Linked DNA regions of Saccharomyces cerevisiae S288C. The protein of the gene in region 2 purifies or fractionates together with the protein of the main gene of each other region. This does not show direct contact. Each region holds a gene or a part of one and is shown on either strand. Other genes may lie near its edges.

Region 1 (6,053 bases), on a different chromosome or scaffold from region 2:
AATTTTGGCTAAACCCAGTTCAACATCACCACAAAAGAAGGTTTCCTTTATGCCCTTACCCTTTCTGCCTTCTTATTCTAGAATTTGTTTTGATGCTGTATTTGTTTGGTCCTTGTTCGTCATCGAAAAACCGGCCCAAAAACGGCTAATAAAAACGTGAACCTGTTTTAAGTCTTTTGCTATAAAAGATATTTATACTCTAAAAAAAGGGAAACTTTTGCAGCAAAACAAATTTTATGCATTAGTTCTCTGTTCTTAACTTGGTCAGACAAAATTCGTCCGTTTGTAGTTGTCTGTACAGGAATTCATCGAGCGATATTCTATCCTGAAATACATATGCCATTAAGTTACATCCTGAATAGATTCCTAGTCATCTATCAGCAAATATTCATCTTTTAATTTGAACCAATTCCGTTTTGTTCCATGTAGTTTCAACCAGCTATTCAATGACTGCAAGTAAATTTGGTTATTCTCCCCAATACAGTTCAAGTGCTTCAAGGTCAAAATAACATCATTGACTCTCATTCCAGTCACGATGGAAAGATCCTCCAGGGTCACTTTATCATAATGGGCGAGGTCACCTTCAATAAGGTGCCAACAGAGTATCTGTGACCAATATTTCAAGTACCCGATTAGTCCAAAAGGTGATAACGGTACTTCTGGCCCTGATATTACACCTTCTAATTGGGATAGTTTGTATGAAAACTCGATAAGTAAAAGGCCTAATCCACGTCGTTGATATGGGGGAAATATCAAGATGCACGCTAGATTATTTTGCTGATATGACACTAAATCTTTCGAAAAGAATCCCATCGGCTTTGTTGATCCAGTTTCATAAACTATGTAAAATTCATAATGATCTACTTTGAAATACATGGATTTATTGTCCAGATATAGCTTAGTGAAAAGACAAAGACATTGGCAAAAGAGTTGATACTTGGATCCTTTTACTCTTCTTATTGTATATTCAGGACTCTTGTATTTTATTTTGCCTGGAACACGATATTGAAATGGACAACTTGCAACATGTCCTACAAACCGCGTCTGATCATCCGTGTATTTGAAGCAGTATTCACAAACGAAAAGAGTGTCTAGCCAGTATTGGCTGTTAGAAACAGAGGAAAGCTGACCCTTGGTCTCGGAGCACCCTAGCCTTTTTGTTTCAGGATCGAAATAAACGGCGCTCCCATACCAAGTAGAGAATTTTTTATTCAGTCCAAACTGAATCTGTCTTATGTTCCTTTCGTTCAGTATTCCATATAGCATCTCTTTTTGAGTTTTTTTAATTTTTGCTGAGGGCTTATTCTTGCCTTTTCCACCATTCTTCTTTCCTTTTAGCTTCTGGGTAGTCGCTGTGAGTGATTGACTTAAAGATCTTGCCATTTTTTTTGCGAGTGAAAACAAAAAGCAACTAGAAAATAGGAGCCTCCAATATCAAAAAATCAAACTTCAATTTAACAGATTCTTAGAGCGCTACATACTCTATCCAGTTCGATATGGACAAGACTTAATGATTTCATCATCTCTTCTGATTAACGATTCTGTTATTCTTCATATTTACGCGCCTAACATATCATGATGATTGGGTGTTCCGAAAATTTTCATTGGCGATGAGCTGAGTATTGAAAGCTCATTATAGTATTAGTATATTATTGTTAATAGCAAGTGCTATATGCTATAAAAATGCAATTACAACCCAATACTAATAATAGAGTGTCTTAAGAAATATAAGTATGGGTACTTACAGAAAAAGGTTTAATGAAAAAGCCAGATCCGGCCATATGGCCAAATTAAAAGAACTGAAAAGAATTAGGAATAAGCAGTTCACTAGACAGGATGAAAACGATGAAAGAGTAGAAAACCCAGATTCAGCTCCCGCTGAGAGTTCTACTACGGAGCCAAATGCCAATGCGGAAATTCTTGAACCTCTCACTGAAGAAGAAAAGAAAATGAAGAAAAGAAAACTACAGGAGTTATTTACCCCAAAGGAATCGAAAGTTTCGAGATTGAAGAAGAAAAGACTGGATAAATTTATTGAACATCAATTAAAAAGAGAGGAAAGAAAGACAATTATTGGTAAACTTCAAGATTATAAGATAGATACAAGTTTGTTGACAAGCTCTAAAAGGTTAGGAGAGGGCAGGCAGACTAAAAAGGAAGAATTCAAAGAAGCACTGAGTTTAGAACGTCAAGGAAGAGGAAATGAACAAACAAATGAAATATTATACGAAGAATATGAACCAAAAGTTTGGGATGAGTATGGTGAAGGAGGGAGCTCTGAGGATGATGACGGCGAAGATGATTTCGAGGCTTCATTTGGTAGTATGCCGAAACCAACGGACAATGAGGAGAAGAAATCATCAGGTTTTATTGATCATAGACCAGCAAAATTTGGTGGATCTGGTCTTAGCTTTGGGTTTAGCAATATAAAAGTCATAAACAAAGAAAGCAAAACTCCGAAGAAGAAATATAATTGGAGACAACGAGTAGAAATGGAAGAATTGAAGAAGCATGGGAAAGAAGATGAAATGGATTTCGACACGACATCTGAAGATGATGACGAAGAGGAGGATCAGGAAGAAGAAGACAAAATGCATCCTAGTGAAAACCCACTCGAAGAAGTTGAAAGCGCAGATAGTGAAACTGGCTCAGAAAAATTTGACCAAAATGATGTTGCTAACGAATTCAAGGATTGGGCCAATCAAGAAATAAAAAAATTGGAAGGTAGAGATCAAGAGCTAGTTACTCCCACTTTGAACATCGATTATAAACCGATAATTAGAAAGGAAGATTTAGATGATGGTCTCCAAGAAGCTTATGTTCCAATAAACGAGAATTCCACCCGTAAAGCCTTCTATGTTGAAGTTAGCAGATCAGATGAAATTCAGAAAGCAAGAATTCAACTACCAGTATTTGGTGAAGAACACAAAATTATGGAGGCTATTCACCATAATGATGTAGTGATTATTTGTGGTGAAACGGGGTCAGGTAAGACTACACAAGTCCCACAATTTTTATATGAGGCTGGGTTTGGTGCCGAAGATTCTCCAGATTACCCAGGAATGGTGGGTATCACTCAACCAAGAAGAGTGGCCGCTGTGTCCATGGCTGAACGTGTAGCTAATGAATTGGGGGACCATGGTCATAAAGTAGGATACCAAATTAGGTTTGACTCTACCGCAAAGGAGGACACAAAGGTCAAGTTTATGACAGATGGTGTCTTGCTACGAGAAATGATGCACGATTTCAAGTTGACTAAATATTCCTCCATTATCATAGATGAAGCACATGAAAGAAACATTAACACTGATATTTTGATCGGTATGCTTAGCCGTTGTGTTCGGTTAAGAGCTAAACTACATAAGGAGAACCCGATCGAGCACAAGAAGCTAAAACTCATCATCATGTCAGCTACATTAAGGGTATCAGATTTCAGCGAAAACAAAACATTGTTCCCCATAGCGCCCCCTGTCTTACAGGTTGATGCAAGGCAGTTTCCAGTCTCTATTCACTTTAATCGTAGAACTGCATTCAACTATACAGACGAGGCTTTCAGAAAGACTTGCAAAATTCACCAGAAACTTCCTCCTGGCGCTATATTGGTGTTTTTAACCGGTCAGCAGGAAATTACACACATGGTAAAAAGGCTAAGAAAGGAATTTCCTTTTAAGAAAAACTCCAAGTACAACAAAGATTTAGAAACACCCGTTTCTAAAATGGGTATCAATTCAAAAACAACAGATTTGGAGGCTGAGGATATAGACTTCAGTGTACAAGTTATCGATCAAGATAAGTTCAAGAGCGCGATAAGATACGAAGAAGATGAAGGTAACAGTGGAAACGGTGAAGATGAGGAAGACGAAGAGGAAGAAGGGTTTGAAGAAGTCCTAACTGAAGGGCAAACAGCTAACGATCCTTTATATGTCCTTCCACTGTATTCTCTATTACCAACCAAGGAACAAATGAGAGTCTTTCAAAAACCTCCTCAAGGTTCTAGGCTTTGTATTGTTGCAACAAATGTTGCAGAAACATCGTTAACTATACCTGGAGTTAGATATGTTGTTGATTCCGGGAGGTCTAAAGAGCGTAAATATAATGAATCAAATGGCGTACAGAGTTTTGAAGTGGGCTGGGTAAGTAAAGCTAGTGCCAATCAAAGAAGCGGTAGAGCAGGTCGTACTGGACCAGGCCATTGTTACCGTTTATATTCGTCTGCTGTTTTTGAACATGATTTCGAACAGTTCTCTAAACCTGAAATCTTAAGAATGCCAGTGGAGAGCATCGTGTTACAAATGAAGAGCATGGCCATTCATAATATCATTAATTTTCCATTTCCAACTCCTCCAGATAGAGTTGCCCTTTCCAAGGCAATACAATTACTGCAATATTTAGGTGCTCTTGATAATAAGGAGATGATTACTGAAGATGGTAAAAAAATGAGCCTGTTCCCACTTTCACCCAGATTTTCCAAAATGTTACTTGTTTCTGACGAAAAAGCCTGCCTTCCTTATATTGTAGCAATTGTTAGTGCCCTTTCGGTGGGAGATCCTTTTATCAATGAATTTGAGTTGGGAATAAACGAAATTTCTAGAAAACCAAATCCAGATGAAAATCTAGATGATAAGATTAGAGAGCACGATGAATCAACACCAGGTATGGATCCTGAACTGAAAAAGGAATTGCGCAGTAAATTCTATAAAAGCAGGAGTCAGTTTAGTAAATTAGACAAATTTAGTGACGTATTCCGTTTATTAAGTGTTGTAAGTGCAATGGACTACGTTCCAAAGGAACAAAAAGAAATATTCATGAAGAAAAATTTTTTAAGAGGCAAACTAATGGAAGAAATAGTAAAATTGAGGAAGCAGTTAATGTATATCATCAAGTCCAACACTTCAAAAGAAAATATTGCCGTAGTAATTAGGAATGAAGACTTGAAAAGTGATATTCCAAGCGTCATACAAATAAAACTTTTAAAACAAATGATTTGCGCTGGTTTTGTCGACCATGTTGCCGTAAGAGCAGATGTTTTATTTCCAGATGATGCTAAGATAACCAACAGAACTTCCATAATCAACATTCCTTATATTCCTGTTTTGGCCACGAGAACACCAAATATCGAGGACTGCTTTGTCTATATCCATCCGACTTCAATTTTAAATAATTTGGGGGAAATGCCACCCAAATACATGCTCTATTATTCCTTGCACCTTGGTGGAAATAATAAAACAAGGATGAATACTTTATGTGACATCGCAAGCACCCCCTTAGCGAACATAGCAAGAAAGGGACTTCTTTTGACATACAGTAAACCTCTGACTGGTCAAGGCTTGAAGACCGTTAATTTATCACCTACGGAACGGTATTGTTATGTGGTTCCTAGATTTGGATCCACAGTTGACAACGATCTCAAGATTGGTTGGGATTTAAATCCTATAGCAGTGCATCAGAAGAAGCAAAAAGGCCAGTGGACAGTCATTAAGTTTATCACCAGAAAGGGCTTCCAGACCATCACAGGTGAAGAGAAAGAAAAAAAATAATGCGCTGGTATTATAGAAATAGAGTTTCATTATATAAGAACATATAGGAAGAATACATTATTCCTATCTAGGGCATCAAATAATTGCAACCACTTAATGTTAACTTCCTTCATAATTCAAAACATTATGTTCTATAGCACTATGTATTTTATGTCATTATATACGTAGTCAATAACTTTATACGTTTTTTTTATTGAACAAAAGTAAGAATTGCTTAAGACATAATAAGAGGAAACTCATCGAACCAATTCAAAACGGATTATAGATTTATCATACCAGATACGTTTATCAGGAGGCTTGTATAATGGAGCACAGATATAACGTGTTTAATGATACTCCACGAGGGAACCATTGGATGGGCAGTTCTGTGTCAGGATCACCACGTCCATCTTATAGCAGTCGTCCTAATGTAAACACAACACGACGCTTCCAATATAGTGACGATGAGCCCGCTGAGAAAATCCGACCTTTACGCTCGAGGAGCTTTAAAAGTACTGAAAGTAACATAAGCGATGA
Region 2 (5,659 bases):
TGGAAGGATTATTTCCCAGAAGTTAATGGTATCGTCTTTTTAGTCGATGCTGCTGACCCTGAAAGATTTGATGAAGCACGTGTCGAATTAGATGCTTTATTCAACATTGCCGAATTGAAGGACGTTCCTTTTGTAATTCTTGGTAACAAGATCGATGCTCCAAACGCCGTTTCTGAAGCGGAGCTACGTTCTGCTTTAGGATTATTGAATACCACTGGCTCTCAAAGAATTGAAGGTCAAAGACCAGTTGAAGTTTTCATGTGTTCCGTTGTTATGAGAAATGGTTATTTAGAGGCGTTCCAATGGTTATCTCAATATATTTAATTGACGTATACATCTATACCCTTTATATGACATTCACATGAATTCAACAGCTTTGTAATAATCAACAAAATTGCATAGGATGCCACCTCATAACTTTTGAGCACAGCATTTCCGCGATCATAGTATATTTTAGACTCTAAGATTGAATAAAAGTATGATACATCTTAAGTATACATATATATATGTATATATATATATATACATGAAAGTTTACCTCCTCATCTTACGTGGACGAGATTCATCGTCACCGCCCATAGTTGTTCTTTTACCATTCTGGGCGAAGTATTCTTTCTTTTTCTCCTTATCCCTTTGTGATTTTTCTTCCTCCATCTTAGCTAATTTTTTCAATCTTTCCTTACGTTGACTAGCCTTCTGTTCCTTCCTCTTGCTGTCTTTGGCTTTCGAAATCGTCAATACTTTTTGAATGAATGATCTTGCCTTCTTTTCATCACCACCTAGCACCACGGCTCTTTTAGCCATATATGTTTTCTTCTTTTGTGGTTTCATTTGATGGATCTGAGATTTGAATGGCAATTCCTTTTGAACAGCTTTTGGGACCTTTAGACCATTGAAGTGTCTTTCTACACGTTCTATTTTATGATATGCACTGTCCGGATTCGACGGTGTTTCCAGGTTCATAGCCGCTCTTATTTGGCCTGTCAATCTTAAACCTTTCCACTCGGTTTTTTCCTTCAACAATAGTGAGGTAACAGGATTATAGAATTTCTTGACGCGGACAGGATACCATGATCTTAGAATTACAATATCACTCATTAGGATTTTATCCTCAAAGGCTGCCCTATAGTGACCCTCAGGCTTTGAAAGTGCCCTTTTGATTTCACCACGGATACCCGAGACAGTTTTGATCTGCGCACCCTCAAACCTTGCAACTTCCATAGCACTTGAAAACATGTCCTTTATAAAGGCAGTATTTTTGAAAATTTTATATGGAAACCCAACTAATTTTAACTTTTTAACAATTTCAATATTAACGTCTATCTCTTCAACGATACCTGTTGCTGCAATTCTAAAACCGTTCCCGGTATCACTATTAGCAACAATTTGAACACCACAAAAAGGTGTGTTTGGAGAACATAAGGGACCGTAGAAAGCCGCATTACAATATGTGTGTTCTGGTGTATACTTTAGCATTCTGGTTCTTGTTCTAGAGTCAGTTGTTGTATAAATTGGTAAAGTTTGGAACCTTCTCCAACCCAAAGACAAGACCAGTGGGTCATTTGTCTTCAAAATCTTCTTATGCCAACGATGTCTTCTCAACCTGGCTTTGACAATACCGAACTTTATTTCGGTCGGCAATAAACCACCCATAACAATTGGAAATTTTGGATTGAAATTCTTGACAAATTCCATTGGGACTTTTTCGAAAACGATACGTACATAAGAACCAGCTTTGAAACCTTCGATTCTTTGACGTTGTTCTGGAGTCATTTCTTGATATTCTATATTGTTAATTTCTAACTGTTTAGATATCTTGGCCTTCTGTAGTTCATACCATGTATCATATTCATTGTTTTCATCATCTTCTTTAAAGTTTTCACCTTCTTCTATCTCGAATTGTGCACGTAGTTTTTCCTTCTTTGCAGCATTCATTTCTCTTTCTTGCTCCATGGTTAAGTCCTTTTTTTCCTCCGCATCAAAATTAGTGAATGAATTATCATCATCTCCATTAGTGTCTTCGTTTTCATCCTCATCCTCACTTTCTTTGTCACTATTGTCTTCTGCTTGTTCAGAAGGGTTTCCATCTTCTAGATCTTCAAAATCGCCGTATAGTTCTTCCCCACCTTCATTAGAGTCACTTTTCGTTTTATTATCATTACCTAAAATGCCTGCGCCGAGGAATCGCTCTTTGATTGCATCAACGCTTTTCCATTTTTTAGCCAATTTTTCGAAAGTGTCGAAATATGGAACAAACTTTTCCAAATCAACTGCATGGTCTTTATTGCCCTCTTTTGTAACAGTACCATCTTTTTTCCTGAAGAAGTCATCATCAACATCTTCTTCAATGTCACTTTCGTCTTTACTATCGTCGTCCTCGCCCCTCCACCTTCTTATACATTCTTCAGGTGAAATGTTGTCCATGTATATCAGCTTACCGATATTCCAGGTCCTTTTCTTACTTTCAGTTTTCTTCAGCTTGTTTGCCGCTGTTCTTTCCCAGGAAAACTCATCTTCACTCTCTTCAAATTCAGAATCTGTTTCCAAAGCTAATTTTTCGGCACCCTGCTCACCGGTATTATTGAAATCGATTTCAACCATCCTTGGTTCGGAGTCCTGCACGTCGTCATCATTTGTATAAGGTTCTTCATCACTCGGTAAATTATCAATATCTGCGTCTTCTTCTTGAACTGGCTTACCATAAATTCTTGGTTTTCTTAAACTGGTTCTTCCCTTGCTCTTTCCTTCATCGTCCTCAATACTTTCTTCTCCACTTTCAACATCCATGCCTTCATGATCGGCAACTTCATGAAGCTCAGTGCCGTTGCTAAACAATTGCAAACCCACACCATCAAATTTCTCTGCAATACTTTGTTCAACACTTTGTAAACCCGTCATGAGTTTTTCTCCTTCACCTCTTTCTTGGCCGGGAACAAAACTTGGCTCTTCATTTTTCTTTCCAATATCAATATAAACAGCATCCTTATCCATCAACACACCTCCGACATCGGACATTGGAGCATATATCAATTTATCTTTATCATCTAACCTTTTACGTCTTCTTGTCGTAGAGGCAGTTGTAATTTCTCCGTTAGCCTTTGCCTCTTCTTTCATTTTTTCACGTTCAAAATCATCCAGTTTCTGTTGGTAAAAAGGTGTGGGACATGGATCTGGTAATTTTTCAATTTGTGCTACTGAGAAATCACCAACACCAGCAATATGCACCCTAGTGCCCGGAGCAGAAGGCAAAGGAGTACCGTGCAAATAACCATAGATAGCGACTTTGCGGTCGATTTGCAGTCCTTGAGTCTCTATTAATTCCGGATGAGTTAAATCTGTGAATCTGTCAGCCAACATATAGGGATGTTCGTTCCTCCATTTTAATGGTCTGAATTTCATAACAGATATAAATCGTGAAAGGTTTAAAATCTCTCTATCAGGATACCTTCCATTAATCACACCAGATAGGTAAAATAATTTTGCACCTTGATAAACTTCCGTCCAGAATCTGTGCTTTAATCTTTTCTTAGAAGCTCTCAAAGTTGACTGAGATTTAAACAGATCAAGATGTGTAGCTACACCAAGTACTCTTGGCATACCGTGATGTTGAGCAATATTTAAGAATTCCATTGTTTCCATTTCAAAACCGAAATTACCGTCAATTAGTAAAAGAACCAAGTCGGCAATCTTAGCAATATCAATCATCGCATTCAGATCGTCCGCAGGGCACTCCAAAAAAGTTAGTCTTCTATGTTTACCAGAGACAACAGTAATAGGACCTTGAATATCATTCAAAGTGCTTTTTGTCATTCTCCTGACGAGGGACCGAATCAAAGTAGTCTTTCCTGTTCCAGGTGGACCCACGACAGCGACGATAAATGGAGGCGGATCATCTTCAGGGGTACGATCAACCATAGGAACATGCAGTTTTCTTTCGTTCACATCACTTGACCTTTGCATAGTTCTCGCCATCTTACCTGGGGCTGCCACGGCAAAGGCCTTTGCATTATGACCCTGCGTATGGAGCTTCTTTTTTGCTGTATTCTTCTCCTTCGCCTTACGGTGCTGTTTATTAGACTGCTCCATCGTTTCAGATAACTCAGATGGCTGATTAAAGGCTACTATTATGTGATATTTTTACCTTAACAGCGCAAATACTTTCCTTAATTTTGAAGCTTCACTTCAGCTCATCGCCTTGAAAATTTTTCATTTGTACGGACATTAAACTTAGGCGATAACAAAAAAAAAACTTCATCTAGATAATCTCAACTTTGAAATTACAGAAATATTTACAACAGTAGTACGAGTATCTGCACTATGGCTCACATGTCCTTAAAATAATCTAAGCTTACCTATCTGATATTTGTTTTGATATTGTTTAGGACCAGCAGTTTCTGAGAGTTTAGCAAATGCACCTTTACAGCTATCCTCAACTTTTGGAAGAGAAAGTGACAAGATATGTAACAATACTTGCATGAATCGACATTTGTTTACTTTGGTCCATTTTGTATATGATAGTGTGATTTAGCGATATGGAATTATGTGTATTTTTCTATTTGTTGTCATTTCAATATGGGATGACTTGTTTTCTTGTAACGCGCCACTTCAATAGTAAACATTATGAACCTGATAAATGTTAGCAGACTTAGTAAGAGAGACAATCATTTTCATTCAGTAAAAATCGCAATCCCTAGTTTGGCTCTTCTTCTAGCCGTACTTTAAATTCAAAGCAAAAATGGTTCTGCTTAACAGAAGGAAAATACAACCTAAGGAAATAGGACAGTCTGCTGATTCCTTCTCTGAAACTCCATGGGTGATTAAAGAAAGTAGCGAGCGTATAAATGATTATGACAGTGATTTAAAAAAGCTAGATTTTTACAAAAGGGATATATTCACCTGTGAGATTAGTGGAAAAGATGGCCTTTCGTATTTCAAGGCGTTAAAAAGCGAAGAACAGCACCGTGAAAAGGTCAGATATCTTTTACCAAAAGAACTAAGGAAGGCTATAGCAAATTTCGCAAACTTCAGTCCGATAAGGAAGGTAGGACACCTTGTAGAAAGCGCATTTCAGCGTTTTAGTAACCGTTTCTTTATAGGCGATACGGTGTGCTTGAAAACTATCCAAAAAAATGCATTGATTACCTATAAAGAAGGAGAGCCTAACTTGGTAGAATCACCAACTATTGAAAACAATGTCACGTTGTTCCTTGTCAAGGATGTGTTTCAATCTAACGGGATGATGGAAAGTGAAAAGGGAGAAATTTCTGCCCCAAAATTGTCACTGTATTTAATCACAGAATGCCTGAATCGAGAATCTAAAGGTGCGGCCCTAATTGTAGGCCAGAATGAAATTAAAAGGCCAGAATCACACTTTTCTAAATTCATAATTGCGTGTTTTCTTAATGAAATACTCATAAAAGTATCGAATAAGGAGCACGCACCATGGAGGGTGAAACAAGAATATATAGAAAGATATGATGTAAACCCTAAATGCTCTCCTAATATGATTGATTATTTGCCGGATAGAATGAACTCATCTTCTTCCGAGCTTTACACTCCTCTTACTATACCACCAGAGAGCGATGTTGAACCTGCTGACTGGAAGGAAACGTCGGAAACGTCGGAAACGTCGGAAACGTCACTATCTAAAATAAAAGCA
Region 3 (5,247 bases), on a different chromosome or scaffold from region 2:
ATCATTAAACGTCCTTTGAAATATACGGTTCAGGTTTTCGACGATTGGCTCATAATCCTCGACGCAACATGGGTCGTTCTTCATCATGGTAATGATTGAATCAAATAAATTGAATTCATCTAGAAAATTGTTCATAGGCATTGTTATTTAGTTATCTTCTTTTTTGATGAATCAATAATTTTATAAGGCTTAGTGTAATTGTTCTCCCGATGATAGTATGAAACGGTAGTCGATAAATTTGTGTCAAATTTTTTCCTCATCCCATCAATTCTTCATTTTTTCCCTTCCTATTTTTTTTTTTACTGAAGCGATGATGCCTTATATATAAGGAAAATAGCCTCGTCAGTCAAAGGACGACTCCCGTAATGGTAGCCTCAGTTTATATTAGGCGCTCTCATCATGATGTATATCGATATTGGCGATGATATTTTTTTTTGTTGATATTAAATACAAATGTAATGCTTTATATAGTTCTATACTTGGGGAATACATGATGTGAATGTGCATAAATAGAGGACAGTGAATATTTTTCAAGGAAGCTCTTTCTCATTTTCTTCTTCATCACTGGAATCATTTTCATTAGACAAGGGTAATTTGTTATCCTTCCCATTGAAACCAATCCATCCTTCCTCGTCGTCAGATTCCATGACTACATCGTTCTCTTCGTTCTCTTCGTTATCTTCATCTGCGTCATCTTTTAATAGAACCTCGTCATCATCAGCCGCGCCATCTTCCATGGACCCATCAGTTGATACCAAAAATCTATAGGTGTATTTGTTATCAGTAGTGGTATTGACTACTTCCTTAGCCACTCTAACAATAAATCTTTGTATCGACCTCATAGCCGTCGAGAAGAGATATTTGTGTTCATTTATGTAACCACCGCTCGCAGATAATAGAGCTTTGATCCAAATTAGGTTAAACTCAATGTGTTGGGATTCAATGGCAAAATCACCGATGAACTTCAGAATCCTCGGTAAATATATTGCAGGAATATTACTTGCAACCAAGGGGATTTCCTTAATAGGTATGGCTTCATAGACTTTATTGATCAAATATTCTTCATTTAACCTGAACGCCATTACTAATGCATTTAAAAACTGCTTTTCTCGTAGCGCCTCTACAGTAGAATGGGGGGTGACGTCCACATCCAGATCAAAGGGATCAAATAATATCGTGTCATTGGTGGAATATATCAATAAACCTTCCGTTGAAGCAGCGGCAAATGCATTCGCCGTTGGGGAGAATTGCACCGAAGTAACTCTAACCTCTGGTCTCATTTTTCTTGTGGACAGGTCGCCACCTCTTTGAGACCCTGGTAAAGAATTATCAATACGATCCTCCAAATCTGAATTTTCGCCTGCATCGTCAATCAAATCTAATGAACCTGCTTCAGTCATTTTCTTACTGTTTAAAAATTCGAGAGTACCATTCAAAGCCATGTTTCTGGACACAATGAATCTTTTTAACAAGACTTCATTTGGAACATCATATAGACAAATGGAGTTATTATTACCACCAGCCACAATAGCCATACCATCAAAACTGTAATGTATTGTAGTAAAAAATTTGGATCGTTCAGAATTTTTGGCAGTGAACCTATCTTGATTAAACCTACCAGATATTATATCCTTTCTACAGTCAATGTTGCCCACCTGCTTGGCATCTTCTATGTTGAAAATGGATATTTGACCCTTTAAGGTAGATACTGCAACTTCTTTACCATCTGGTCTCATTGATAAGGCTAAAACATCGGAATAAACTTCTATAGGTTCTACTTGTTGGCTTCTACCAAATATGGACCAGATTCTAATTGTTTTATCCCATGATGCAGAAGCTAAGACACTGTTCTCTTGACTAAATGAAAGACACGAAACAGGGCCTTCATGTCCGGACAAAGCATCTAATAATTGACCAGTTTGCACGGACCAAACATGAATGTCAAAATTGTCCAGGGACCCGGCACAAACCACTTCACCTGATGGATCCACCGCTAAACAATTGAATTGGATTCTTTCAGTACCAGTGAATGTTCTAAAATTACGATACCTGATTAAGTCCCACGCTCTCACCGTACCATCTAACGATGATGAGAACATGACCTGACCCCTTTTCGCAAACTGTACAGCAGTAACTGAAGAGGTGTGTTCTTCAAAAGTGGCCAAACAAAACCCTGATGTAATGTCCCAAACTTTGATTTTCCCATCTTCGGATGCTGTCACTACACGTGAACCATCCGGAGAGTATGCAAGACTATTTGTGGAATCGAAATGGCCCTGCTGCTTCAAGATATACGATTCCGATTGCCATTCGTAAACTAGTAATTGGCCCAGTTTGCTGGAACCAAACGCCAGCCATTCGCCGGTTTGGTTGACGCTAACGGTGTTGACTGGGTTTTGCCCCATAGAAAGCTGTTGAATCAAAGTGAAATCAGGCAAATCGTAAAGACGGAATTCCCCACTAGTAAATCCGACAGCTAAAAGCCTTGTTGCTGGATGGAAGGTGACACACTTTACTTTGGCTTGGTTTGCGTAAAAAAAATGTTTCTTTGTGATTCTCCAGCTGTATTTCGAAATATCTACTTCTTCTTGCTTGTCGTCGTCTTCACTTTCATTGTCGTCGTCATCGGATGGCCTCTTGGTAAATTCCCAGACAAAGACAGCACCGTCTTTGCTTACAGTGTAGATTTTTTCCTGATCATGACTGAAGAACGCACCCATAACGTAGTCTCTGTGCCCATTAAATGTTGTCGCCGCAAGGTTCTTTTCCTCTGAATCTACGGACCATATTTTTGCGCTTAAGTCTTTGGAAGTCGTAAGGATAAATCTGGAATCTTGTGACCACGTCAAAGACGTTATGTCTTGAAAGTGTCCCGCATGCACCCTATGGCGGACGAAGGGAGCAAACTGTCTGTCTTTATTAACATCTGGAGTCTTCCAAATCTGTAAAAACCTGCCTGAGGCTAATGCAAAGAGTCTCCCATCAGGGCTGAACTTCACAGCGGAGCATTTTTCTTTGAAGTTGAAATGGTGAAGCACGTTACGGGCTTTGAAATTGACAAGGATGGCGCGACCGTCCTCGTCAATAGAAATCAGCAATGTGCCTTGTTTGTTCAGATCAATGGCAGCAATATTTTTGCGATGCTCGTATTCAAACGTGAACGATTTGTTGTTGATTAAGTCAAACACGCTGACCCTATTCCCCACCGGTGAGAGTAGTTGCTTGCCATCATCGGAAAAGGTGATGTTACCTTGCCTGTAGACCGTACCTAAAAGGTTAGAGAACTTGAAATCGGATTTCATTGGGATGCGGTTCAATCTGCGGTCTGCTCTCCTGTCTACCTGTTGAAAACGATACTATTATTACTATTATTGATATTATACTAGTTATTGTACATACCTAGAACTATACTCGAAACTTTTTTTTTTTTCATCTTTCAGCTCATCGCAAAATTTTTCCAAAAAATTTCAAAAAGAACTCCCGTCGCATGTGATCAAGGTTACAGGTGCTTGACATAATCATAATGATTACGAGTCGAAGCCGGCCCTGACAACAGCTTCTCTTGCCGTAGAATTGATGTGTTTAAACCGGTCGGGACCTATGTGGGCACCGCCGAACCAACGGGCCACCACAACGATGACGTTCCACACATCCATGATGGTGATGAGGTGCAGCATTCTGGAGCCGGCGGCCGTTTCACCGTCATCATCGGAATCTTGATATGTTGCCGCAGAGCCATCCTGCTTGATTCGCCATGCACTCATGACATGGTTTGCCTTACGCATCTTGGAGTCGGTCTTCAGTAGGTCTAGCATGGCAAACGCTTGTTCCTCGGAGGTAACATGTGCTGCAAAGGCCATGAAAGTCGAGCCTCTATCAGTAATGGGGTCCGACGCGGTCCAGCCCTCGAAGGGGTCTGTGGGAATGTCACTCTGCTGGACCGGTTCTGTCTCCTCCTCTGGTTCAACGTACAAGACACCGTCGAGTTCTGTGAGGAAGTCAAATAGACAGACAGATCCGCGGTGGAAAACAGAGTCCATCACTTCCTGGAACAAATGCTGAAGGTACTTGGTATCGTAGAGATCGCGCTTAGCCAAAGAAGTGCAGACACCAACTTCGATGACATTAGGAGCCTCCTCGGAGGGGTAGTGTGTCGGGAAGGAGATCTGCAGTGTCATGTATTCATGCTGCGGCACTTTCACAACGATGATGCTTCCGTCTTCCTGCTTCTTGGAGAGAAGATCCGGATAGATGGCCTCGACGGCCTCCAGTTCTTCGACCAACTGTTCGTGATCGTCATCCATTGAGCTTTTCTTTCCTCTCTCTTTTTTTTTTCTTGTTACATATTCCTATATATATGTATATATATCTATATATATATATATCCCAGCGTATATGACTGCACAAGACGCAATTTTCTTGAACGGTTTTTTCTTTTCAGCACTGCGAAAGAGAGAGCAACGGTAAAGAGCATGAGCCAATTTGAAAAGCAGAAGGAACAGGGCAATTCTTTGTTCAAACAGGGCCTGTATCGCGAGGCTGTGCACTGTTATGACCAACTAATTACTGCTCAACCGCAGAACCCGGTCGGGTACAGCAACAAAGCCATGGCGCTGATCAAACTGGGTGAATATACACAGGCTATTCAAATGTGCCAGCAAGGACTGCGGTACACCTCAACGGCAGAGCATGTAGCTATCAGATCCAAATTGCAATATCGTCTAGAGCTGGCACAGGGAGCGGTAGGTTCAGTACAGATCCCTGTTGTAGAGGTTGATGAACTACCGGAGGGATACGACCGGTCCTGAGAAAAGAGAAAGGGAACACTTCTAATTTATCTTTAAAATTATATATATATATATATATATATGTGTGTTTGTATACTCTGTGGGTATTTCCGTGTATATGGTTAATAATAGTAGTATCTTGTCAGTTTTTTTTATGTTTTTCTTCGCGCGTCAACTTTCTACCAAGAGAAAAACAATATAAGGTCTCCTTACTCTATAGGAGAATAAAACAAACAAAAATAAAAAGCACATCGTAGCGCCAAGAAAATACTGCAAATACCAAATACCACAATAATACTACAATTATCTATACACAAGTGTTTTGCCGCTTAAAACTTCGATTTTCATAGTACGAAACTATACACCCTTGGTTTTTCTCTTTTCTAAATACATATCTACCTTGTAAAGAATTTCCCGCACATCTTTGCGGGCATACAGTTCATGTATTGGCAACTAACGG
Region 4 (7,558 bases), on a different chromosome or scaffold from region 2:
TTGATTTAAGCTGTTGAGGTTTTCACTTGATTTTGGTTCAAATACATTATCTCGTTTTCTAATGTTATAGCCTCGAAGAGTTGTAGCCTGCGATGCCATAATATTACCAGTAGAATTGTAGAGCACAGTACAAATACCCGAAATGATATTCGTATATCTAGTATTATAGCTTCAACCGCTTGCAATATGTTCTCTTTCAAACTACCTTATTATCAAGCCTATATCTTATTTTTCACTGATTAGGATTGATAAGCGCAGATAAGCGAAGATAAGAAAATTTTCACTCTGTTCGCCCGCTATTTAGGATCAGTAATTTTAGTAACGTTAATCACTAGGAACGACGAGAAAGATGACAGAATAATATCTCATTGAAACTTGAAGTAGCGTAATTGAAATATTAAGTTCAAACTCAGAAAGGGGCAGCTATCACGAATGAATAACAATATTTTCAATGAAAGATTTCGTTCAACAGCATAGTGTTTTACTTTACAAAAATTTACATAATACTTCACCTTTTTTTTCTAATCTAAATACCTATCAAAAGGTTCCCCTAAAACGTTTTCAACAACCTTGACCAAACCGGTCCTGACTTCACGTTCGATCTCTTCATCATCATCTTCCAATAACTCAGCGATGACGGGAACGAGCTGTGGCAATAGAACTAACCAACTTTCACCTATCTTTGAGTATATCAACTTCATGGCTCTAATAGCCCATAATTTTTCATTGGAGGAACAGGAAGCTTTCATGTGTTCAACGATTAGTTTATTCAAAATTTGGTTATGCTCATCAACGCCACTATTGTTAGAAGCCAGAGCGCCAATTGCCTTGACCAGGTACTTCCCAATAGAGTTTTCTATATTAGATAGTTGATTGACCAAGGATACAGAAATTAACTCGAATCTGGAAGTTGATTTCCAGTATTCGTCTCTATCAAACTTTAGCGAAGAGGTTAGAGAGTTGATTACCAAACGTCTTAAATTAACGTTTTCCATGTCCTTGCTAATGAATCTTTTTAACAACATATCAACAGGTTCTAACAAATACGTGAAATAGGAAGTAATTATACCTCTCAAATTTTCTTGAAGCTTGTTGAAAAATTTGAAAAATGCCAACAGTCTTTCTGTTTCAGTGATACCTGCATTTGTAACGCCTTCACCGTCAAACGCCCATCTTACTAATATAACAAATAGCGGTCTAAATACTTTGTCATTCATCTTCAGGACGTAAGAGTTGGAAATTTCGTGAACGGATGCCTCTATCCTACTAATTGTATTATTATCGAAACTGGAAATGGATCTAAATTCGAATAAAGATAATAGTAACTTAAAAAATATTGGCGATTGTGAGGTTGCGGATTTTTTATCAATATTTTCAACAGTGGATTCTAATGTACTCAAAAATAGACTAACAGCAACTGTATCATTGGACGTTGCTATTTCAGTGGACCAAATTCTGAATAAAACTTTCAAAACTTCCTTCAAATCTATATTCTCAATTATCAATGAAATTACTGACAGCCTAATGCTGCTGTCAACTTCACGGGAAAAATAAATAACATGCAAAACATCCAAAATATTTGACATCAAGAAACTTGGTATCCTTTTGATTAGACCGGCGAACAGCAACAGTATAGCAACTTGCAACTGCTCTTTTAATGGGTTACTACTATCTGCCAATGAAGCATCAAATAATTTAATAGAAGGTGGGACTATTTTTGGATAGAACGCAATTGACTTGACTCCTAAAACTTGAACACAGTTAGTTATCAATGCCAACGAAGATATCTTGACCTCTGTCATATCAGAACTAACTTTTTCAGTAGCAAGGGTGAGGGCTTGAGTTAATATGGACCCCTCAAGCTTCTTACCATATTTGCTCACTAAAGCCGTCATCGTGTTCAATATTACTTGAGAAATAACAACAGATTTAGATTCCAAAGGCATTCTGTCGAGCAAAACCTTCATCACATTGTTAACTATAGGAATAGCTTCAGAGCCTTCTAACTCGAATTTGGACCCTATTACCAACGTTAGGTGGTATCTAATATCTTCATTAGTGGATGTACTGAGTAAGGGTAATACCGCATTAACAAACTCGTCAACTGGTAGAATTTGTAACACATTGCCAAGCACCTTGAATAGAATCTCCTTTATTTCAGTCGTGTGATCTGATAATGATGTTTCAGAGTCGGAAGCTTCCTCATTTTCTTGGGAAGTTATACATGAAAAGGTTAATTCTACAGAATTAATGAAAAAAAGAACACCTTCTAAAAGGGTTCCAAATTCTTCCCTGATGTTTCTAATTAACTTTTTATCGCTTGTTTCATCTAACAAAACAGAATATACCTTTAGTCTTAAATTTCTCCTCACATCGTAATAATCTTGATCTGTTTCCTCGGTTATTTTATTGATAAACTCAAAGGTATTGTTCATAAATGTCAAAAATTCACTTTCCGAAAAATTCAAGACACCATTTGAAAACAAGACACGGGATTCTAGTGATTTCTTCTTTTCCGAGGAGCTCTTTGATGATGTCAACAATTTGATGATATCGAGTAAGTCATTCAAACCTGATAATTCCTCATTGACATGTAGATCAACGAGTAGGGCCTTAATAAACTCAATTAATATTCTTGCCTCGCCAATTTTAAAGTTGACTAAAGCTGAAGAATACTGTTGTGCAATCAAGAAAAGGAACGAGCCCAGTGCCTTTACTGGATCAAGTGTTTTGATTAACGTAGAAAATAATTTAACCCTCCTATGTCTTGGAACATGTTGCAAAGCGGTTGTGAAGCTCAACAAAAGGAACTCCATTTCCTCTTTTTCATTTCCTTTGCTATTCTTGATCAAGGCAGGGACAACAGTTAGTATCGTACGCTCAACAACTTTAGTTGTGAATTCATCATCTTGACGAATACTATGGGCTCCCATAAAAGTAAAGATAGGCATTACAGAATGCAAAATAACTTCCGAACTTAAAGTAGCAAGAGATCCAATTACAAGTAATAGTTTGTTTTGGACTTGCGGAGATGCAGAATTTCTAATAGCGGATACCAATATATCTGCCCTTACGTTGGTTAGTTCTGTACAGCCATGTTCCTTCAAGTATGTGATAGTGTTCAGCGTACAAGAAATCAAAGTTTCTTGCGCATATAAAACCGGTAATCCACCGTCTTGATCCAAAGTTTCCAGATCTGATAATAAGGAAAGTAAAGTGAACAAAAGCTTTTCGGATCCAACATTTCTGACTTTATCAAGTGCTTCCAAAATAATCGTCAACTTTCTCAGGTGCAATTCCGCCAGTTGCGAAACCTCCTCTTTCAAAAATGCGTTTTTACTTGTTGATGAACGTCTTCTTCTTCTTTTAGAAAAGTCTGTCTGATCCATTTCGTTACTGATACTGTTTTGATTTAGTATGGATACAAAAATATCGGAATCTAACGGCAATGATTGTAGTACACCGACTGTATCGTACGATGATTCTACGTTACTCGAAGAATCCACGATATTTTGGACGATTTTTAGTTTTTGAGCATTATTTAATGAAGCGAATATGCTGATAAGCCTCTCGGCAGCTATGTTAGCTAACTGCTCATAATCTGAGTTAAGAGCACTGAGAACAAAATCGATCATGAATGACTGCTTTTCTTTTGGTGATACCAAATTAACTAAAGAGCGCTCAAAATGCTCAAAGTTTGTTTTATTAGCAATACAACTCTTTTCCCAACTAGATCTGTTTTCTAAGTAGTGGGAAATAAATTCCTCAAATAGGGAGGAATAAGAAGATGCATAAGTCGGACTCTTGTTCAGGTTATCCAACAACACTGTCTTGGCATACGGAGAAGGTATTAGTAGGGCTTGATTAGCCCAAAACATCAAAAAGACTTTTTCATTTCTCTTTGGCGTTAAAATTCTGGATATGTCATAATTCTCAGTAACGTACTCATTCAAAAATCCTGATAACCATGCCTCACTATCTTTGGGATTTAACATAGGAATGGTAACGTTCTCTCCGTAAAGTTTATCAGACAAAAAGTAGTGCTTAGTGGATGGTCTTTTAGCAATCAAGGAAAGAATCTTCTTCACGCCAGTCCTAACTTTTATAGAAGCATCTCGCAAAGCGCAAATCAAGCATGGAACTAAAGTAAAAATATTAACTTCCTTTTCAATACTATTAATATATTTTGCAATATTGTTTAAAGATATTAGCTTTAGCGCGGTTGGAGCGGCTGGAGATATAGTTACTCTTAACAAAAACGTTATTCTTGATTCTAAAGTAGTGAAAAATGAAGTCAAGAAGGAACTTGCTTTATAGCCTTTACCAATAGCTTCAGTGAATAAAGATAAAACCTTTTTGTATCTTTCTCCAGTTTCTGTTAGCATGGACACATTCGTTGTGTTTATCAATTCTGAATGCTTATCCAAGAATGTTTGAAATGAAGCGGTATCCTTTTTAGTAGTTTCCACGGGGTCGCTTAACTGCTTTACAATGTCGGTGTTAACATCGGCATTAGTGAACAAAGATGTAGTAAGCCTGATTTCGAAGAGTTCGCCTGTCAGTCCCAATGATTTCAAACATTTTAACACCAAATCTTCATTTATGGAGATAAAATATTCGAATAGTTCTACTAATTGTGACTTGTCCTCTAAAATTTCGGAAAGGTAAATCAAATCAGTGATTATCAACCTAACTTCGTATCTTTCTAGTCTTATTTTTTTTAGTAGGCTAAGAATAATGTTCAATTTGGACCGATCATACCTTGCTATGGATCTTGTATAGGAAGTAATGAATTTATCACAAACTGGTTTGTCTTCCTTATCTAAGAAGGTTAGTATAGACACAGTGTCGAACTTGCTATCAAATAACTTGAAAATTTTGGAAGGTAGCTGATCTACGTTACCTTGTCCTTTTAATGTTTGGAACAGCTTACAAATCGTGAGGAGTGCTGAATGTTTTGCCTCTTTAGCATCTAAGTTTGAAAGAATGGTTTCCATGGCAGCTAAGATAATTGTTTTCTTTAAAGGCAAAGCTGTAGCAAATACAACTAATATGGTATGTGCAGCTATTTGACAATCCTTTGATTTAGAGGCTAAAAGTTTAGCAGATATTTCAAGTAAGATTGGAACAAGCTGATTCAGTTTTTCATCGTTGTTTGAATTGAAAGCAACAACGTTAATAAAGCAGCATGTTGTAAATAAAAGCTGGTTAGTATACGTTGCATTATGCTTAATACATTGATCCAAATAACTGGTATAAAGTTTCAGAAAATCCATGTCATTAAAGAGCTTTATCATGGTTAGCGCCGTTGGGGGCTTTTCACTTCTAACAAAATTCGACAAACAATTAAACAAAGGGGGCAACTTAATAATGCTGAGAATTCTCTTAAAGACAGGTGTTTGGTAGTAGTTGAGAGTGGACAAAAGCAGCATCTCTGTGTTTTTAACATGTATTTGAAAACGACGAACCAACCATTCTGTTGCATGTAGTGTAGGTGCTAAATACCATTTAGAAGAAGCCAATAGCAAGTAAGCATTGATAGCATTATCCAAATCTTTAATTTCTTCTTTTGTTTGGACATTTCTATCAAGAGAAATGGAAGACTCTGAAAAGAGTGTTCTTGAGAAAATGGCAAATTTTGGCTCAATTTGGCTCAATTCTTCAAGAGCCTTACTAGCGTTTTCAAAAATGAAATCGTAATCTTGTGTTGCAGCCGTCTTTGAGTTATAAATCAAAGAAGCAGAATGAAGTTTTTGTCTTCTCTTTCTATCCAACGCAACAGTAGCATTGTTGGAAGCAACTTGAGCTAATTGGTCACTCAACGAAGACATTTTCAAAGTTATTCGTACTTTGGTGGCCAGTTAGATAAGTCTGATTCTGAAAGGTAATAAAGAAAGTATTTGTTACACCTTCGAAAATATCTAGCTCATCGCTAACTGAAAATTTTTTTCTTTGCTTAACGCAGAAAGAAAAAAGAAAAAAAAAAAAGTCATGTGACTTGAATATTATTAATCTATGTATGTTATGATTATTGGCTATGAAACCATAAAATTGAAAAAAAGGATTCATAAGCTGATATGTTATTTGTACTTAATGCTATATTTATAATTTACTTTTGAAATTTTTCTTAGTGGGTCAAAGTCTTCTTTGATACTGAAGAATGACCCAATGGCAACACTTGGTCCATTGGTTAACAAGTTTCTAACGAAGTGGACCTTGTGAGAGCTTATAAACTGAAAAGACCAGTTTTCTTTTTACCAAAGGGGTAGACAAAGAGTGAAGAAGCAAATAGTCCCACAGAAATACCGACACAAACTTGAATCATTGTCATACCAAATGACATTGAGGACGATGGATCGGAGGTGCTTGTCGTAATGGTTTCATTAGCATTAACAATTGTATTTGCACTTTGCAACCCAGACAACAACGAATTTTGTGAAGCAATACCAGATGGCACTTGAACGAAGATTGCGGGAAGCATAGCTGATACCGCTAAACCTTTCCAAATTCTGGAATATAGATTACCTAAAACACCTATGACAAATGCAGCTAAGGCGGCAGTAAACTCTGTCGAATTCGCAAAATGCTTACCGGCCCAATATGTTACGACATAACCGGTGCAAGAAATGAAGACCATAACTGGCAGTTGTGAGATGTGTGCTTGATTTAATAACGAGATACTAATGGTAAACGCTGGAACGAAGAGGAACCTGAACCACGGAGAAATTAATTGAGGACATGAAATTTCGTTAGTGGCATTGTGATACATCCATCCAAACAAAGCTGAGCCCAATGTTATGCCAAAACCCAAAAACAAAGAATAAATAATGGCGTAGAACATACGGACCGCGCCAGCAACTAGGCTTCGACTTTGCAGTTCTAGTGCACCACACAGAATAATATAACCTGGCAGGATTAATGCCAATGAGCCTTGTGTAACTGCACCAAAGCAGATGTGAGAACGAGGGATAGAGCCAAAAGCTCTACCGCAGAAGCTAACGACAATAGATGCAGAAATTTCGAAGACGTTTGAATACATGTATGACTTTTGTGAAAGAATAAATTGTAATGACCCCACACAAAGCCCCATAAAAAATGAGATTGCCAGGTTTACCCAATCGCCACCAAAGGCATACGGAGTGACCATAGCGGAACAAAATGCATATAAAAGAACACACATCCAAGGTGGATATAGATTCGTGTCAGCCAAAATTTGATCGAGTAAAGCATTACCTTCATCGGCACCTAAGGTATCATGGACAACTCTTTTGTAAACGGCATGAACTTGATGCAGCTTCCAAAGGTTTAGACCTTGAGTACACCTAACCAATTGAACTTCGGAAGTTCTTGTTGTTGCATCACCAAATGAAACAATCATACAACCTGGAAGATACAAAACTGACCATCTATTTCAAGGACTCTAGAAGTCATAACCATATATTCTTCAAGCCTATGCGTCGGAGCACCATACATCATAAGAGCTCTACACATGCGTAGGATGAACCGGTGTCTTTGTAAAATGTCTGCAATGTGAACCGTAATTTTCGCTTCAGTTTTT

The links.
Region 1: the proteins of BMS1 (region 2) and ECM16 purify together in Saccharomyces cerevisiae (affinity purification with mass spectrometry; 5 studies listed by BioGRID). This does not show direct contact.
Region 3: the proteins of BMS1 (region 2) and PWP2 purify together in Saccharomyces cerevisiae (affinity purification with mass spectrometry; 6 studies listed by BioGRID). This does not show direct contact.
Region 4: the proteins of BMS1 (region 2) and UTP10 purify together in Saccharomyces cerevisiae (affinity purification with mass spectrometry; 6 studies listed by BioGRID). This does not show direct contact.

The regions. Positions count from the first base shown.
Region 1 is NC_001145.3:521,963-528,015, forward strand, and holds ECM16 (ATP-dependent RNA helicase ECM16), read left to right. Parts: upstream 1-1,733; coding exon 1,734-5,537; downstream 5,538-6,053. Other genes in the region: SAS2 (histone acetyltransferase), read right to left, coding at 367-1,383; POM152 (Pom152p), read left to right, coding at 5,842-6,053. UniProt on the Saccharomyces cerevisiae protein: Probable ATP-binding RNA helicase. Required for 18S rRNA synthesis. May play a role in restructuring of the pre-rRNA.
Region 2 is NC_001148.4:139,086-144,744, forward strand, and holds BMS1 (GTPase BMS1), read right to left. Parts: upstream 4,087-5,659; coding exon 535-4,086; downstream 1-534. Other genes in the region: Arf family GTPase SAR1, read left to right, coding at 1-324; YPL216W (uncharacterized protein), read left to right, coding at 4,736-5,659. UniProt on the Saccharomyces cerevisiae protein: GTPase required for synthesis of 40S ribosomal subunits and for processing the 35S pre-rRNA at sites A0, A1, and A2.
Region 3 is NC_001135.5:219,927-225,173, forward strand, and holds PWP2 (snoRNA-binding rRNA-processing protein PWP2), read right to left. Parts: upstream 3,303-5,247; coding exon 531-3,302; downstream 1-530. Other genes in the region: CTR86 (Ctr86p), read right to left, coding at 1-141; YIH1 (Yih1p), read right to left, coding at 3,528-4,304; TAH1 (Tah1p), read left to right, coding at 4,473-4,808. UniProt on the Saccharomyces cerevisiae protein: Required for bud-site selection and cell separation. Also involved in nucleolar processing of pre-18S ribosomal RNA.
Region 4 is NC_001142.9:211,479-219,036, forward strand, and holds UTP10 (snoRNA-binding rRNA-processing protein UTP10), read right to left. Parts: upstream 5,832-7,558; coding exon 522-5,831; downstream 1-521. Other genes in the region: GZF3 (Gzf3p), read right to left, coding at 1-99; pheromone-regulated protein PRM10, read right to left, coding at 6,227-7,378; YJL107C (uncharacterized protein), read right to left, coding at 7,375-7,558. UniProt on the Saccharomyces cerevisiae protein: Involved in nucleolar processing of pre-18S ribosomal RNA. Required for optimal pre-ribosomal RNA transcription by RNA polymerase I together with a subset of U3 proteins required for transcription (t-UTPs). Involved in ribosome biosynthesis.